3 linked regions of the Caenorhabditis elegans genome follow. The protein of the gene in region 3 purifies or fractionates together with the protein of the main gene of each other region. This does not show direct contact. Each region holds a gene or a part of one and is shown on either strand. Other genes may lie near its edges.

The links. Proteins that work in one complex are often made in the same cells at the same time.
Region 1: the proteins of dpy-19 (region 3) and cdc-48.3 fractionate together in Caenorhabditis elegans (co-fractionation; one large-scale study listed by BioGRID). This does not show direct contact.
Region 2: the proteins of dpy-19 (region 3) and rbc-2 fractionate together in Caenorhabditis elegans (co-fractionation; one large-scale study listed by BioGRID). This does not show direct contact.

The regions. Positions count from the first base shown.
Region 1 is NC_003279.8:8,032,341-8,037,256, forward strand, and holds cdc-48.3 (ATPase family protein 2 homolog), read right to left. Parts: upstream 3,357-4,916; coding exon 3,141-3,356; intron 2,973-3,140; coding exon 2,148-2,972; intron 1,995-2,147; coding exon 1,187-1,994; intron 987-1,186; coding exon 747-986; intron 704-746; coding exon 618-703; 3' UTR 523-617; downstream 1-522. Other genes in the region: K04G2.4 (SHSP domain-containing protein), read left to right, coding at 3,629-3,744, 3,795-3,937, 3,995-4,079, 4,256-4,476, 4,524-4,599, 4,649-4,772; ath-1 (palmitoyl-protein hydrolase), read right to left, coding at 4,844-4,891. UniProt on the Caenorhabditis elegans protein: ATP-dependent chaperone which uses the energy provided by ATP hydrolysis to generate mechanical force to disassemble protein complexes.
Region 2 is NC_003281.10:2,525,668-2,530,419, reverse strand, and holds the start of rbc-2 (WD_REPEATS_REGION domain-containing protein), read left to right. Parts: upstream 1-1,730; 5' UTR 1,731-1,740; coding exon of another isoform or gene 1,741-1,770; 5' UTR 1,771-1,791; coding exon 1,792-1,924; intron 1,925-1,986; coding exon 1,987-2,110; intron 2,111-2,160; coding exon 2,161-2,272; intron 2,273-2,329; coding exon 2,330-2,539; intron 2,540-3,752; coding exon 3,753-4,054; intron 4,055-4,752. Other genes in the region: ndua-8 (NADH dehydrogenase [ubiquinone] 1 alpha subcomplex subunit 8), read right to left, coding at 67-191, 763-881, 991-1,166, 1,213-1,344.
Region 3 is NC_003281.10:8,664,432-8,669,096, reverse strand, and holds the start of dpy-19 (C-mannosyltransferase dpy-19), read left to right. Parts: upstream 1-1,614; 5' UTR 1,615-1,621; coding exon 1,622-1,724; intron 1,725-1,731; exon of another isoform or gene 1,732-2,216; coding exon of another isoform or gene 2,217-2,300; intron 2,301-2,416; coding exon of another isoform or gene 2,417-2,510; intron 2,511-2,551; coding exon of another isoform or gene 2,552-2,658; intron 2,659-2,716; coding exon of another isoform or gene 2,717-2,936; intron 2,937-2,981; coding exon of another isoform or gene 2,982-3,085; intron 3,086-3,200; coding exon of another isoform or gene 3,201-3,536; intron 3,537-3,634; coding exon of another isoform or gene 3,635-3,751; exon of another isoform or gene 3,752-3,759; intron 3,760-4,665. Other genes in the region: F22B7.1 (uncharacterized protein), read right to left, coding at 2,217-2,300, 2,417-2,510, 2,552-2,658, 2,717-2,936, 2,982-3,085, 3,201-3,536, 3,635-3,751. UniProt on the Caenorhabditis elegans protein: C-mannosyltransferase that mediates C-mannosylation of tryptophan residues on target proteins such as unc-5 and mig-21. Mediates the attachment of alpha-mannose in C-C linkage to the C2 of the indole ring of tryptophan.

The DNA of each region.
Region 1 (4,916 bases), on a different chromosome or scaffold from region 3:
TTGAGATTGAATCCAATTTTCAAACTTATCTCATCTCCCCCGGTTAATTTAACCGCGTAAGCTTCACCTCAATCATAACTTTCCATATTCCAAATATTATATGTCTACTAACTTTCCCCTACCCAATTCGCGTGTTTTGTACGTGTAACAAAATATTTTGTATTCTAACGCAATTTATGATCATCACTCAGCCTATTGGGATTAATGATGTTCATGAAAATGCGGAGAGTACTGTATTTCTCGTCTGTTACCCAAATTCCACACACAAGTTCATCTGCTCCGACGGGACTTTAAATTTTTCTTGTTTAAGCATAATTCCATTTTTCTAGTGTACCCAAAAAATCCCTTCATCCCAAACTTTATCTTTAATTACTGCTCACTTTTAAATTTGTTGTCGTTTTTTTTCTCAAAAACTTTATCTGTAATATGCTTTCATCCAACGAATCAAAACGTTTTGCTAATTTCTCCTATCAAATTGAATTCCATTCTTGTGCAGCTCTAAACTTCGAATCACAATTTGTTCAAAAATAAAATTTGTTTCATTTTTCAACAATCAAAGAAATTCAAAATTCAAGAACAAATCAATTTAACAATAACAATCAGGTAAACAGTTATTTTCATGCGTTCGAAGCTCGACCTGCTTTAAAATCGTCATAAATTTCAAGAAGATACGCTTCAGTTCGGGAAACAACTGCGGCAAGAGCTGAAAATATTTAGTTAATGAATAATTTAATAATATTAATTACCTTGTTCAAAATGCGTCCATTGCACGATTGTAGCATCAATGCTTTCACGCATTGCAAACATTGCAGCAGTTCTACAGACAGCAACAAGTTCTGCACCGGAATATCCTGATGTTTTTTCCACTAGTTTATCAATTGTTCTAACTGTATCATCGAATTTCATTTTTTTAGTTCGCATTTCGAGAATGGCTCTTCGTGTCACTTCACATGGTAATCCGACATAAATAGCACGATCCAGGCGACCTGAAATACAAAAAAAAATATTATTACTCGAACGGGCATTTTTTCCCCAAAACTACAGTAGTAGGTTTCAACACGACAATTTTCTATTAGATACAACCAGGAGTACTGTACTTTCAAATTTTCAGTCGTGCAGTATTTACATCAATTTTTCATAGTTTTGTGTTAAAAAAATATATTTTTTAAACAGACAACCTACTTACCAGGTCTTAAAAGTGCACTATCCAATTGATCAGGCCGATTAGTTGCCGCCAATAATATAACTCTACTTGACTTTTCCAAACCATCTAACTCAGTGAGCAATTGTGCCAAAACTCGATCCGAAACTCCAGAACTTTTTTCCGAACCTCTTGAAGAACCAACTGCATCGATTTCATCAAAGAATACAATAGTTGGAGCAACTTGTCTTGCTCTTGAAAATAAATCTCGAATTGCTTTTTCAGAGTCTCCAACCCATTTACTGAAAAGCTCCGGTCCCTTGACAGCGAGGAAATTCATTTTTGCTTCACTAGCCAGTGCACGTGCTATTAAAGTTTTACTACATCCGGGTGGTCCGTAAAGAAGAATTCCAGCTGGTGGATCAATTCCAAATCTTTCAAAAGCTTCTGGATGTTTTTGAGGCCAAATAACAGCTTGTTGAATTTCTAACTTTAATTCTTCATTTCCTCCAATATCATTCCAAGAAACATTAGGTACTTCTAGAATAAATTGACGAATTCCAGTTGGTCTGATTCGTTTTCTTGCGTCATTTACTCGTTCCAAATGTGTTCTTCCTCTTGCAAATTTCGCCGCTTTCAGTAATGAGCATAAATCTCCGCCAGTGAATCCATGAGTGTGCCGAGCAACATCAAGATGAAGTTCCAATGGGAAATTGTAGATGTTGCCAATTTTCGAAAGAATGTCGAGTCTCTCGTCTTGTGTTGGAACAGTGATTTCTGCTTCAATCGGGAATCTCACACGGAATCCAATGTCAAGAGTTTCGGAAGATCGAACACAAAGAATCACGCATTTCTGTAAAATATTGAATTGTAAAGTTAGAAAAAGGAAATCTATCTATTATAGGGACTCAGAAAAACACATTTAAATTGTCCGTACAGCGCACACGATTTCAAAATGGGCATTTTTCTGTGTCCCTACAATAATATAAAAAATCATTGTTCTTACCTTTTCGTCGCCCAACAAAAAGCTCAATGCTCGATTTGCTTTCGTATTTTCTTTTTCTAGTTCATTAACATCTACAATTACAATGTTTCCAGTTGTTACTCCATTCAATTCCATCAATTCTTCACAGCTACCAATGTAGGTTGTTGATCCAGAAAGAACTAACGCAACTTCTTTCAAAAGAAGTGTCTTTCCACTTCCAGGAAGTCCCCAGATCAAAACTGAACACGGTGACTCTTTTTGACGAACTGGACTGATAACATAATCTTCGAGAACTTGTTTGGCGGTGAAACATCCACCAATATTTGATAAGTCAGTTGGAAGAGTTTGAAGAACATCTGAAGTCGATCCTTCTGCAGAAGCATTCAAAATTTGAATTTTGTAGCCAACAGCTGTAGATACTACTTTCGAATTTCTTTTCTTGTCGTCATCTATTCCCATGGCGCTCATCTTGCTCTCGATTGGTTCTTCTGGGGTTACTGTAACATTTTGACCCAAATATTTCAGATCAACACTGGAATTGTATTGCAGATACGAGTGACTGAGATATGCTTCTAAGAATCCACTGAGAGCCGGATTTAAAGTCAAGGATGTCTTGACTGTGACACTCAGACTTTTGAGTTTTTCAACTCTTCCACAAGACTCCAATGTGATCATTCGTTCCCGTGCAATTCTAGAAGATATTATGGATACTTTGAGAAGTGCAACTTCTTTGCAAGGCCATACTATTCCAATAAAAGAATCAGAAGAATGAATAATTCGAACTGGTTGCCGAGCAAGTAGACCTAGACTTTCCATTGTTTGTTGATTGATTAGAATTGAGTGTTCCTAGAAAAAATGAAGTGGGTCAAAGAATATATGCGATTTTTTTTCATTTTTGCAGCAAAAAATTCAAAAAACTGAAGAGTGATTTTTAGAATTTTAGAAAAACTTACATATGTAAATTTTTACAGCTATATTCGGATTTTTTAAAGTTGTTTTTTGTAAAAATCGAACCTTTTCCCATCCAACAGCGTCTGGGGGTAAAAAACCTTCTGCTTTGTCCACTGCCACATTAAATCCACGTAGCGTTCCGTTTTGAGCGCACGCAATTTCAGATTCTACGACGGGCTTTCCACAGAAGTCTTGATGTCTTAAAGAATCTTTGGTAAGAACAACAGCATTACACTGGGGGCATGTCACGAGACTTGGTTTTTTCTTTGCACTTGACATCTGAAAATAGGAGTTATAGTTTTGGAAATTGCATGCAAACGAAAGCAAAAGAATATAATTTTTTTTTAATTAACGAAGCAAGTAAGTAAGTTCGTGAACCTAAGATTTGTAGTTCAGATAAACTGTGACAGAAACATGTTTCGCGAAGATTCTTTCTTCGAATAAAAAACTTTAGATAAAAAAAGATTCATTTCTGATTTTACTCATATATTCTTCCGCCGACAAAATACCAGGAAATCGTATCGTGTGCAATAAGAGAGAAAGATTCAAGAATGGGCTGTAGTCATAGTAAAAACAAAAACTCAAAGTCCAAATCAGCGATACTGAAGAAAGAGCATCCATTGGAACGATCGATTCATCACAATCGAGTTGCACATTTCGACGAAACGTGAGTTAACTTTTTAATATATTCAGATTATCAATTATTCTATGATTCAGTCAGCCAACAAGTCAATCGACAAGTGTTGAATCAGAAGAACTAAATGTGAAGCATTACTCGAAAACTTTGCTCAACGATACTGTGGAGCCAACTCATCAGAAGACTAGTGCACACGTTCCAGAGAAAAGTATCAAGAAGCAAGGTAAACGGCTTTTGTTGAATGAACAAAGCATCTTATGAAAGTTTTTTTTTATTTCAGAAGTCAAGCAAGAAGTCAAAAAGCATGAAACAACCACAGTCGTTCACACGAATGTACATGTGCCAAAACCTACTCATAAGCTACCGTAATTTTTCATAAATTTGAAGGCGTATTGGATGTTATTTGGATGCAATATTTTGTGATTTTCGCGAGAAAATTATAGTACAGTACCGTAGTTTTCGGGCAGAATAAAAATTTTGCATCTGAATAATATCTTATCGAAACATCCGAACTAACAAAATAATTATTTGAATATTTCAGACAAGCATCTGAAATTCCTATTGAAAGAATGGGATCAGATCCTCATACAGCTATTGCACCTACTTACCAACAAAAACAGTTCGCCACATCTACTTACTACCCAATGCCCACAATTGGAGAAAAACAAAAATCACCAGAAAAAGCAAAACCGGCAAGAAAAGTTGATAATACTGATGAAAAGAAGAGAAAGAAAGATCAGAATGAAAAGCCAGTTATCAATGGTGAGATAATAAATTAATAATAGAAATAAGAATTGGAATCCATTCAGGACCAAATGTTCGTCATCAATTGACTCCAGAAGATTTGGAGTATATCAAACGATCGGTTCAACAAAGAAACGAACGGTATATATTGCAAATAATTTATGACATGAAATAATGAACACATTTACAGACGTGCGTTTATGATGGCTCATCGAAATGAAACAGACGACACGTTGTATGAGCTTGAAGTACGAATGCCGGAAAAGGACTACACAAATCGAATGGAGGTTGGACAGAACTATCGTGTCTGTTGAAAATTGAGAGAAATAAAGTGTGTCTGGTGAAAAAAACTTTAAAAAAATCGTTTTTGGAATGAATTGAATATTTAGTGGGCAATGTGGGCGCTCAAGAAGGTCTTCACATCACGCATCTCCTGAAAATACATTAATATGATTAAT
Region 2 (4,752 bases), 6.1 Mb from region 3:
TTTGGAGAGAACTCTACGGGAAAACGAAGGGTATTTGCAGAAAAACGGCCAATTTTTCAGAGAAATCTAGCTTTCAGTAATATTGTAGCGCCAGTCGTTGTATTTACGGTAGTCTTTGCGAAGATGATAGTCGGCTGGAAGCTCATTGAGCACTTTAGCTGCTTCTGCCTTGTAGTCACGGAGCTTCACCTCTGAAATTGGGGAAAATTGAATTTGCCGCGAAAAATGGGATTTTAAATGAGTTTTTAGTGAGATTTTCGTGAAATTCAGGTGGGAATGATGCCTAAAACTGAAAAAATTGATTTTTTTGACTTGAAATTCGGATTTTTTCCGCAAAATCTATCAAAATTTAACTTAAAATACAATATTTTTTGGATAGAAATTTGAATTTGTCGCTAAAAAATGTCTGAAATTAAGGTTTAAATAGTGATATTTTGGCTCGAAATTTGAAATTATTCCGAAAAATACAAATTTTACCAGTTTTACAAGGCTTTTTTGACTGAAAAAAGGTGAATTTCGTGACTTTTTAGTTTTAAAAAGCTTTAAAATAGTCAAAAAAGCGAAAAATTTAACAAAAAAGTGGTTTTTTTTTCAGGAAAATATGCAAAAACGTTAGAATTTTTCAAGTTTCAGGAGTTTCTGGGAACTTTTCTGAAAAGTTCATACAAAAATTGAGAGAAAAACAGTGGAAGAATTCAGCTAAAATATTGATTTTTTCGCATTTTTAAATTAATTTTATCGTAAATTCTATAATTTCTGTACCTGGAGCCGCGGTGGCCGAGTCATAGACATGAAGTTTGCTGAAGTATCCAAGCTTTGGACGCGTCAAGTTCAAATTAGCTTCCACGCAGGCATCGAGCTCCTTCTGGTCGTCATGGCACCTGAAAATTGAATATTCTACTGCTTTTTCGCTTTTTTTTTCGGAAAAAAATCACGTTAAAATTTTTTAACGGTTTATTTTCGATGAAATTTCATTTTTGGAAAGCTCACTTTGACATGTAAAGCTTGGCACTGCTCTGATCAACACATTCGGCGAGCTTCTGAGTCTGTGGAAGGCAGGAACGCTTCAAAGATTGAAGAAAATTGACTCCACACGCGGTCAGCGCGGCTCCCTCCTTCAAAACGGCACGTGGATCCTCGGCTTCCTTTCGTCGAAGCATGAACTCCTGCAAAAAATCTCAATTTTATCGAAAATTTGGCAGAAAAACCAACATTTGCCTCCTTTTCGCAATGTTTTGCCATATAGGGAGCGATGGATTTGAGCCATGGAGTTGATAAAGTGATTTCCTGAGGAACAGTGAGCTCCTCGTCACTTGGAAAATGCGTATCCTTGGTTATACTCATCGGAAAATGTACCCTGAAATTGGAAAATTGGAAACCAAGCGGAAACTGTTACAGAGAGGGAATTCGGTGATGAAATTTATTATTTTCGATGAGAAAAATTTGAAATTTGATTTTTAAACAAAAAAAAACAAAAAAAAATCGATTGAAAATAGTTTATTTTGATTTTAAATGATAAAATAAAAAATAAAATTTGTTTTGCGCAACGGCTGTTTGCCCGTAAATCCACACAAGTTTAAAGGCGCATGCCATGTTGGCTCTCTTCCCTGCGAGACCCGCGGCATCTCATGTCGATTTACGGGCTATCGAACTTTGCCCTTTTCTTGCTCCGATTAAAGTTTTCTAAAAAAAAAGCTTATTTAATTGAAGAAATTCAGATTTCATTTCAGATTAAATATTATGAAATTATTGTGTAAATTTCTGCTGTAAATCTGAAAATCTAGCTGAAAAATGGTGGAAGTCGCGCCAGCCGGCACAAAATCGCCGGCGCTCTCCGTTCCAGTTGTCATTTGGGGCCCGAAACCGCCGGAAAACAAGATTTGCGCAATTCGTGTGCTTCCTGATGGCGCAACAATTATCACAGGTTAATATTCATCGAATTTTCTAAACAATAAAACAAAAAATCTGAAATTTCGAAATTTTCAGGCGCTGAAAATGGCCACATTATTATTTGGAAGCTAGCAGAAGGACTTATGCCAAAGCAGCTAATGATTGGACATTCTCAAAAGATTACAGCAATCTCTCAGACAACAAATACACCGACAAATACGTTAGTAACGCAGGATTTGGAAAAAATCGATAATTTCCGAAAAATTCCAGACGTTTTGTCTCAGCTTCAGCCGACGGACGTGTATGCCTCTGGGAGATTCAAGATGGACGGTGCATTGATTCAACATCTTCTATTGCAATTCACAGATATATTTATCCATACGTAGGCGCTGGAAAATCGATTTTTAGCCGAAAAAACCGAGAATTTTTTTGATTTCAGACGTATAAATCGTCCCGTCACACGAGAGCAACTCGTCTTTTCTGTATTGGAGATTATAGTGATATTCAAGTAATGGATCCACAAGATTTGACAGTTGTATTCTCAATTTCTTCAAGAGTTGAACCGGATTGGATAAGCTGTTTTACAATTATTAGTCATCCGGAAAAGGAGGATCAGTTGATTGGAATGACTCTGAGTGGAATGATGAAGGTGTGGAATTAATGGAAAATCGATTAAAAAGCGAAAAAATTAATTTTTTTCAGCCAAAAATCACCGAAAAACATTAAAAAATATCATATTTTCGCGGAAAAATTGCATTTTTAAATGTTTTAATGTGAAAATACAAATTTTCTAGAAAAAATCTTCAATTTTATGTAGAAATGGAAAAAAAAATCGCGATACCCTGATTCAAGCTTATTTTTGAACGAAATTTGGTGGTTTTGAGCAAAAAATTGTAATTTTTGCCCAAAAATTTGGATTTTAAAAGTTTTTTATTAATAATTTCGATTTTTCAAACTTGTAAAACGACAATTTCCGTGAAATTTTCAAATTTTTTTCACTTAAAAATCACAGTTTTTGGAATTTTTTCTCCAGAAAGCCAATTTTCTACTTAATTTGGAAGATTTTTTGTATAGCCTTTAGATTAAAAAAGCTGATTTTAAAGCTATTTTTAAGAAAAAAAAAATTAATTTTTACGACTTTTGACGTTGATTTTGGTGTAAAAATGTATAAATCTATTGAAAAAATGTCATTTTGGACAGTTTTCGAGTGGAAAATTGAATTTTTGAAGCTTAAAAAAAAATTTTTAACTAAAAAAAACACAATTTCCGTGAGAATTTCAAATTTTCAGTTTATAAGCTCTTTTTATGATGCAAAATATCGATTTTAGGCCGTTTCTTATCAATTTTAATGCAAAAATAGTCATTTTCAAGCTCTAAAACCACATTTTTCCAGTTGAAAAGCTCGAAAAATTGAATTTTTATAGCTATTGCAGTTGATTTTTGTGTAAAACATGTATAAATTCGTCCAAAATATGACATTTTAAACGGTTTTTCGAGTAGAAAATAGAATTTTCGAAGCTTTTTTCCCTGTTAAAAGGCAATTTCCGTGACATTTCTAATGTAAATTTTCAATTTTTGACTGAAAAAAGCGAATTTTTGAACAATTCACACAATGTAAAGTGTTCTTAACGCAAAAATCTCGTTTTTAAATAGATTTTTACTTGTAAAATGACAATTACCATAAGATTTTCACATTTAAATTTTCACATTTAAAAATTCTAATTTTTGGTTTAAAAAGCTATTTTTAATGCTAAAACGGAAAAATTTAAATTTTTCCGAGGTAAAAAATTGATTTTAGATAATTTTAGACCAATTTTAACGCGAAAATAGCCATTTTCAAGCTCTAAAACCCCATTTTCCAGGTGTGGACGCTCACAGAACTGGAGAAAAAGGACCCAGCAACATCTCTATATGAAGATGAATCAAAACGACTAGAAATTCAACATATTCGAAGTGTTTCATATATTTGTTCAACAAGAAGAATGCTTTTAATAATTGCATCGACATGTTGGATGATTATTGATATGGATGATCTTTCAACAGTAGTTTTTCATAAAAATGAAATAACTACGAAACGTTGTGTGGCTGGATATCTTACGGATTTGGATAAAGTTACAATTGGATATACTGATGAATCAATTCATGTATTTCAATTGCCTATCGAGTGAGAAAATTCCGGAAATTTTTATTGGAAAATACCGGAAAAATCGAATTTTTCAGCTAAAAACACATGAAAATCAACAAAAAATCACAAAAACGAATAATTTTCTTTGATAAAATTATCAATAATCTAAAGAAATTTGAAATTTTCCTGGAAAAAGCATACAATTTGCGAAATACCCTAATTTTCTAGCGTGTAATCAAAAAAAATTGACAAAAATCGAAAAATTTTTGTTTAAAAAATTAAGTAGTTTTGCACTATTTCGATAGATTTTCGTATATATAATTATTGATTTAAACAACAAAAAATGAAACAAAAAATCCGCTTTTCCACGAAAAACAGATTATTTGCAGAAAAACTATATCTTTTAATGAAAAATTGACAAAAATTGAGCCAAAATATCCAAAACGCACATTCTGACGAATTTTCTCATAGAAATTGCTTATCGAGTGAAAAATCCCGGGAAAAATCGACTTTTTCGGCAAAAATTGAGTTAAAATCGCTTATTTTCAATTAAAAATATGCAAAAAAAATAATTAAAAAAAAGATAATTGATTTTTTTGGAAAAAATAAAAAATAAATAAATAGCTTAAAATCACGAATTTTTGTTGAAAAAATTTGAACATTTCCCACAAATTTGACATATTTTTGCCTAAAAATTCAAGATTTCAACGCTAAAAAGTTGAATTTTCTTGAAAAAA
Region 3 (4,665 bases):
AACGCTTCTCCATCATTAAACCTAATTTTTTGAAATTACTTGAAGCACTCAAAACTCTCTAAAAATATCTCAATAGAAGAATAAAGCATAAATAAGTGTTGTTTCATTCAATTCTATCTCCTCCTTCTTTACTACAAGAAGAGGACAGATCTATTGTGTATTACTCTCTATCGGTATGTCTGCGTCTCTGTAAACCCTAGTACTATCTAACTGGCTACCTGTCTGACCGCCTGTCAAATGGATTGGATTCAATGTGTAGAGGAAGAGGATTCGGTTAATGTTTTACTCAAACTATCATGTTGTGTTCCCATATTTTTTTGAAATTTTAGTTTTCACTTCCAAAATATTTTAAATGCTCGTTGTATTTGCTTGTACTGTTTGCTGATTTGTTGAGTCATTTTTCTGGCTTTTCCCTGAACTCTTGGATATTTTTGAAACAAATCATAAATATATAAATCTTGAAACATTTCTCGAAATTTTTTAAAGAAATAACTTAACTTGTTTTAAATACATTTTTTTAAACTGTTAAACTGTTCCGGATTTGTTCGAAGTGTAAAAATCTACAATTTTTAATTTTGCAAAACCCTGCAAGTTTCCCCTTTCTAATTATATTTGTTCATACTATTTGCTAATTCCCTAATAGATTCCCTCTAAAATTTCAAATTGTCCGTGACTTCATTCTCTCTAAACAAAAATCTCTGAAAAAAGAAAAAGCGTCGGGTTCGAACAATTGAATTTCCTTTTTTTTCGTTGGGAAAGAGGTATCTCAAGCTGTGTTTATTTTCATGTAAATTGAGTATTTTTCTTTTGAAAAATGGGCAAAAAAATCGAAGTCTCTTGGTGAAACGCCTCGATGGAAAATCGTATAGCTTTTATGGTTTTTTTCTCAATAAACATAGTCTGTCTGTCTTCATAATCTCCTTTTTTCATGTTTAAAAACTAATTCCCACTATTTGAAATTGCTTTACCAAAAGTGCAAAGCCTTCAAAGTCAACTTAAATTATTTTCAGCTAGCAAATTGAAAAGTTCAACGTTTTATTTAATATTCTAGTAGATTATACATAGTTCAATTATGTTCTACCTACTTTTTATTTTTCTCTTGACATGCCTGCCTACTCACCAATCACCCATTTTTGCATTTTTTACTTTGGTGTTTGGTGTTTGCCTTTTCAATTCATTTGATAGTTCTTTTTTAAGTTTGAAAAAAAAACTTTTTGGCAGTAGGCATAGGTATAAATACCTCAAAAATCAGGTAAGAATTTTTTACCTACAGAATACCTGCCTACAAGACACGCTTCCCTTACCTACTTTATCGCAATTTTAATATCAAATTTTAGGTAAATGAAAAATTTAATATTTTCCCACCCCTATCCTTTTTGCTAGTTTCTATGTTTTCCTTCTATTTCTCATATATTTTCTCAACTCTAATCTCTATTCTAGAGAAATAACATATTTTCAGTCCTCACTAATTTTTTTTCACACTTTTTCTCCCTCTCTTTCTCTCTCTAAAACCTCTCCTTGACATTTTTCTGTGCTGTTAACTAATCAGAACGGATTTAGTATTTTTTTTTTTCGTTAATTGTTTTCTCAATTCTTACGCTGTTGTAATTCCAGACAAAAAATGGCAAAGAAACCCAAGAATTCGCCTGAAAAATCAAAATATTCTTCTGATACTTCTTCCTCATTATATTCGCAAACTTGGCTTGCTTCCGTTGTAATTATAGGTGAGTGAACAATGTTTTATTCAAACTAAAAACATGAAACAGGAAATTAAATTCAAAATACACGTAACAATAGAATGAGAGGAAGAGGGAACAAATATGCATTCAAAGTGGCAAGAGTTTGAGATTTTAAAGCTGGAGCAGCGTCAGTGGGGGATTTTTTTTTAATATTCATAAAAGTTTACGTGGCAAAATATCATAATAAACTTTTTGAAATGTTTAGATTCGGTAAATTGGCATGTCTTTGGAATATTTAGGTTTTCCAACCAAATAATGTACTGTTATGAAACACTTTTTAAAAAACCAATTTCCAAATACCAAAAGTATTGTTCACAAAAGCTGAGAATTCCCAGCTTCCGACAACGAATTTCGAAAAAAATTGGAAAAAAATGTTTCTACGCACCATATGAATAGTCAAAAAAAATATTCCGATGCCACTCCAACTTTAAATGAGACTGAAAACAAATGGAGGAAGAAGTCAAAAAGAGGGTTTTTCTAGAAATCATGATACTGGCCTCGTAGTGGGTCAAAGCAACGAGCAAATGTGTCATTCATTATGTCGAAGAAATGACGAATGTCCTGAAAGTTTAATATAGAAAGCTACAATTAAAAACAATTTAGAACTTTGCACCCATTAGCAGAATATCGAAAAATGCGTAAGAAAATTGACAAGAACTATCTAAAACATTGGTTACCTCTTGCTCTTCATGACTTCTTGACTCTATAACTGCTTTGTAATAATGTTTGAGTGAGCTCAGAACTCCGTTATCTCGAAGGCGTTGAAGAGCTCTAAAAATCTAACGTTTATCTATTCAATATAAATATCTTACTCCTCCTCAATGTCACTTCGCTCATCTAAAATAGCTTGTAGCGCTTTTGGTGGGCGATTTCTGTGCAACCATTCGTCGAGTTCACTGCTTTTCCGATTTTCGCCAAGCTGAAAATTAATTCGTTTTGGGGCTTTTGACATTTTTTAAATATCTAAATTGACTCACTCTTTCCCTAATAATTCCATCAACACTGTCAAACTTGTTCTCATAAGCAGCTAAATCCAAATCAATCCTTTGTTCAAAATTAAGCAATTCCAATGCGTGTCGAACACATTTTGGCTCCATTGCATAACATTCGTTTAATTTTTTCTTTCCATACATCCAAACACTCAGATTTTCCCATAATCTTGCCCAAATTGACATTTTCTCAGTTTCAGAAGATTTTCTGGAAAATAAACATAGTTTTTGATAGACGCTTGATGTTTGAAACCTTTGTGCAAAATACTGCTGAATGGCCATTTGATCAATTAGCGGCAGAAATGGACGTAATTGTTTCAACCAAACTGAACGGATTGCGTTGTATACGGAGGCATTCTAGAAATTTAGTTATAGAAGGAAAATTTGGTATTGTCATATTAAGGTTTTTTTTGAAAATAAAACATTTTAAAGATTAAAGAGAGATGATTTTCCATTGAAATGTCAAACTTACGTGATAACCATTCACCACATCTACAGTAATCTCATCAAAATGTTCCAAATTATCGATTGATTGTACCAAGGATTCATTGATTCTTCCTAAGACATTTTTCTCATTTCGATTCATTTTAACTTTTGAATCGATTACATATTTCAGTTTTTCATAAGTTTTATCTTTTACATAGGCTTTCAAAGTTTCTCTATCCTCTGTTGGTAGATCGAGTACAAATATGAAAAGTGGTAAATATGTCTCCAATAAATTGAATTTTGGTTTGTCACTTTCTTTTTCTTCGGAAGAAGGGTCATACATTGTTTGGTTATTGTTTAATAGTGTCGAATTGTCTTCTGCCTGAAAATTAAAACATAGAATACGGGAAAAGAAAACGAAGATGTGCCGAAAGTAGGCATGCATGCATTTCTGACATGGTAACATTGGCAAAAACCAACCAGAATAACTAGAACATCATCTTTTTCGGGAGGTTCCTTTCCACTTTGTTCCTCATCACTTTGTGCCAAACTCATCATAAATAAGAATAGGAGTAATAAAATTGCAGGCGTTTTCATTTTCCCTTAAAAAAAACTTTAAAAATATGAAAAATAAATAGGAAATCAGTGACATAATAGAAAAACAAGAAAATTCGGATGATGTTTGAAACTTTTGGAGAATCACACGAAAACTGGAAATTGAGAATTGAAGAAAGGACATGCGATGGCAAAAATAATTCAACCGAAATCCAATTATCATCTATTCAAACAAATTTCTGAGCGAAACATCACAAGACTTTTTTGTTCTGGAAGCTTGAAGGGAAAAAAGTGAACGCACGTGACATTAAATGCATCTGGAAATTGGAAGCAAGAGTTTATGCGGAGAGCAGATGAAAAAAAATTGACTTTTGTGAATAGAGCATGTGACTGGGTTTTGAGTAGAATGCGCTTTTAGGATGAATAAAAAGAAATGCAGAGTTTTTATAATTATATTTTGAGAATCTATTGGCTACATACCTGCGCACCTACGTGCCTGCCTACCACCTACTTTTTTAAGTTTAAGAACTTTTGTTAAACTTTTCTTGCAGGTGCACTTGCAAGGATATTGAAAAAAAAACTAGTGTAGGAAAAAGGCAGGCGTTGGACACTATGAAAGAAAACAGTGTTAAAATGTTGTATCTTCATAAGAAATTTTCGAGGAGTCACATTATGAAATTCGGTCTATTGGGATCATTTTGAAGATATTGAAGCAGAAGTCCAAAATTGCTACGCCCCATTTAAGAAATTAAATGATAGGTGCGCAATATAGGCACAAAGCAGATATTTATTTTTACTTGGAAGACTTCAAAAACGATTTTTTAATTGTTTTGAATATACGCTTTAAGATGAAACGGCCCTACCAAAACGAATAAATCAAAGGAACAAAAATAAATGAGATAATTAGTGATATTGACTTGAAATGATTCCTAGACTGAACGCTTCTATCATCTAAA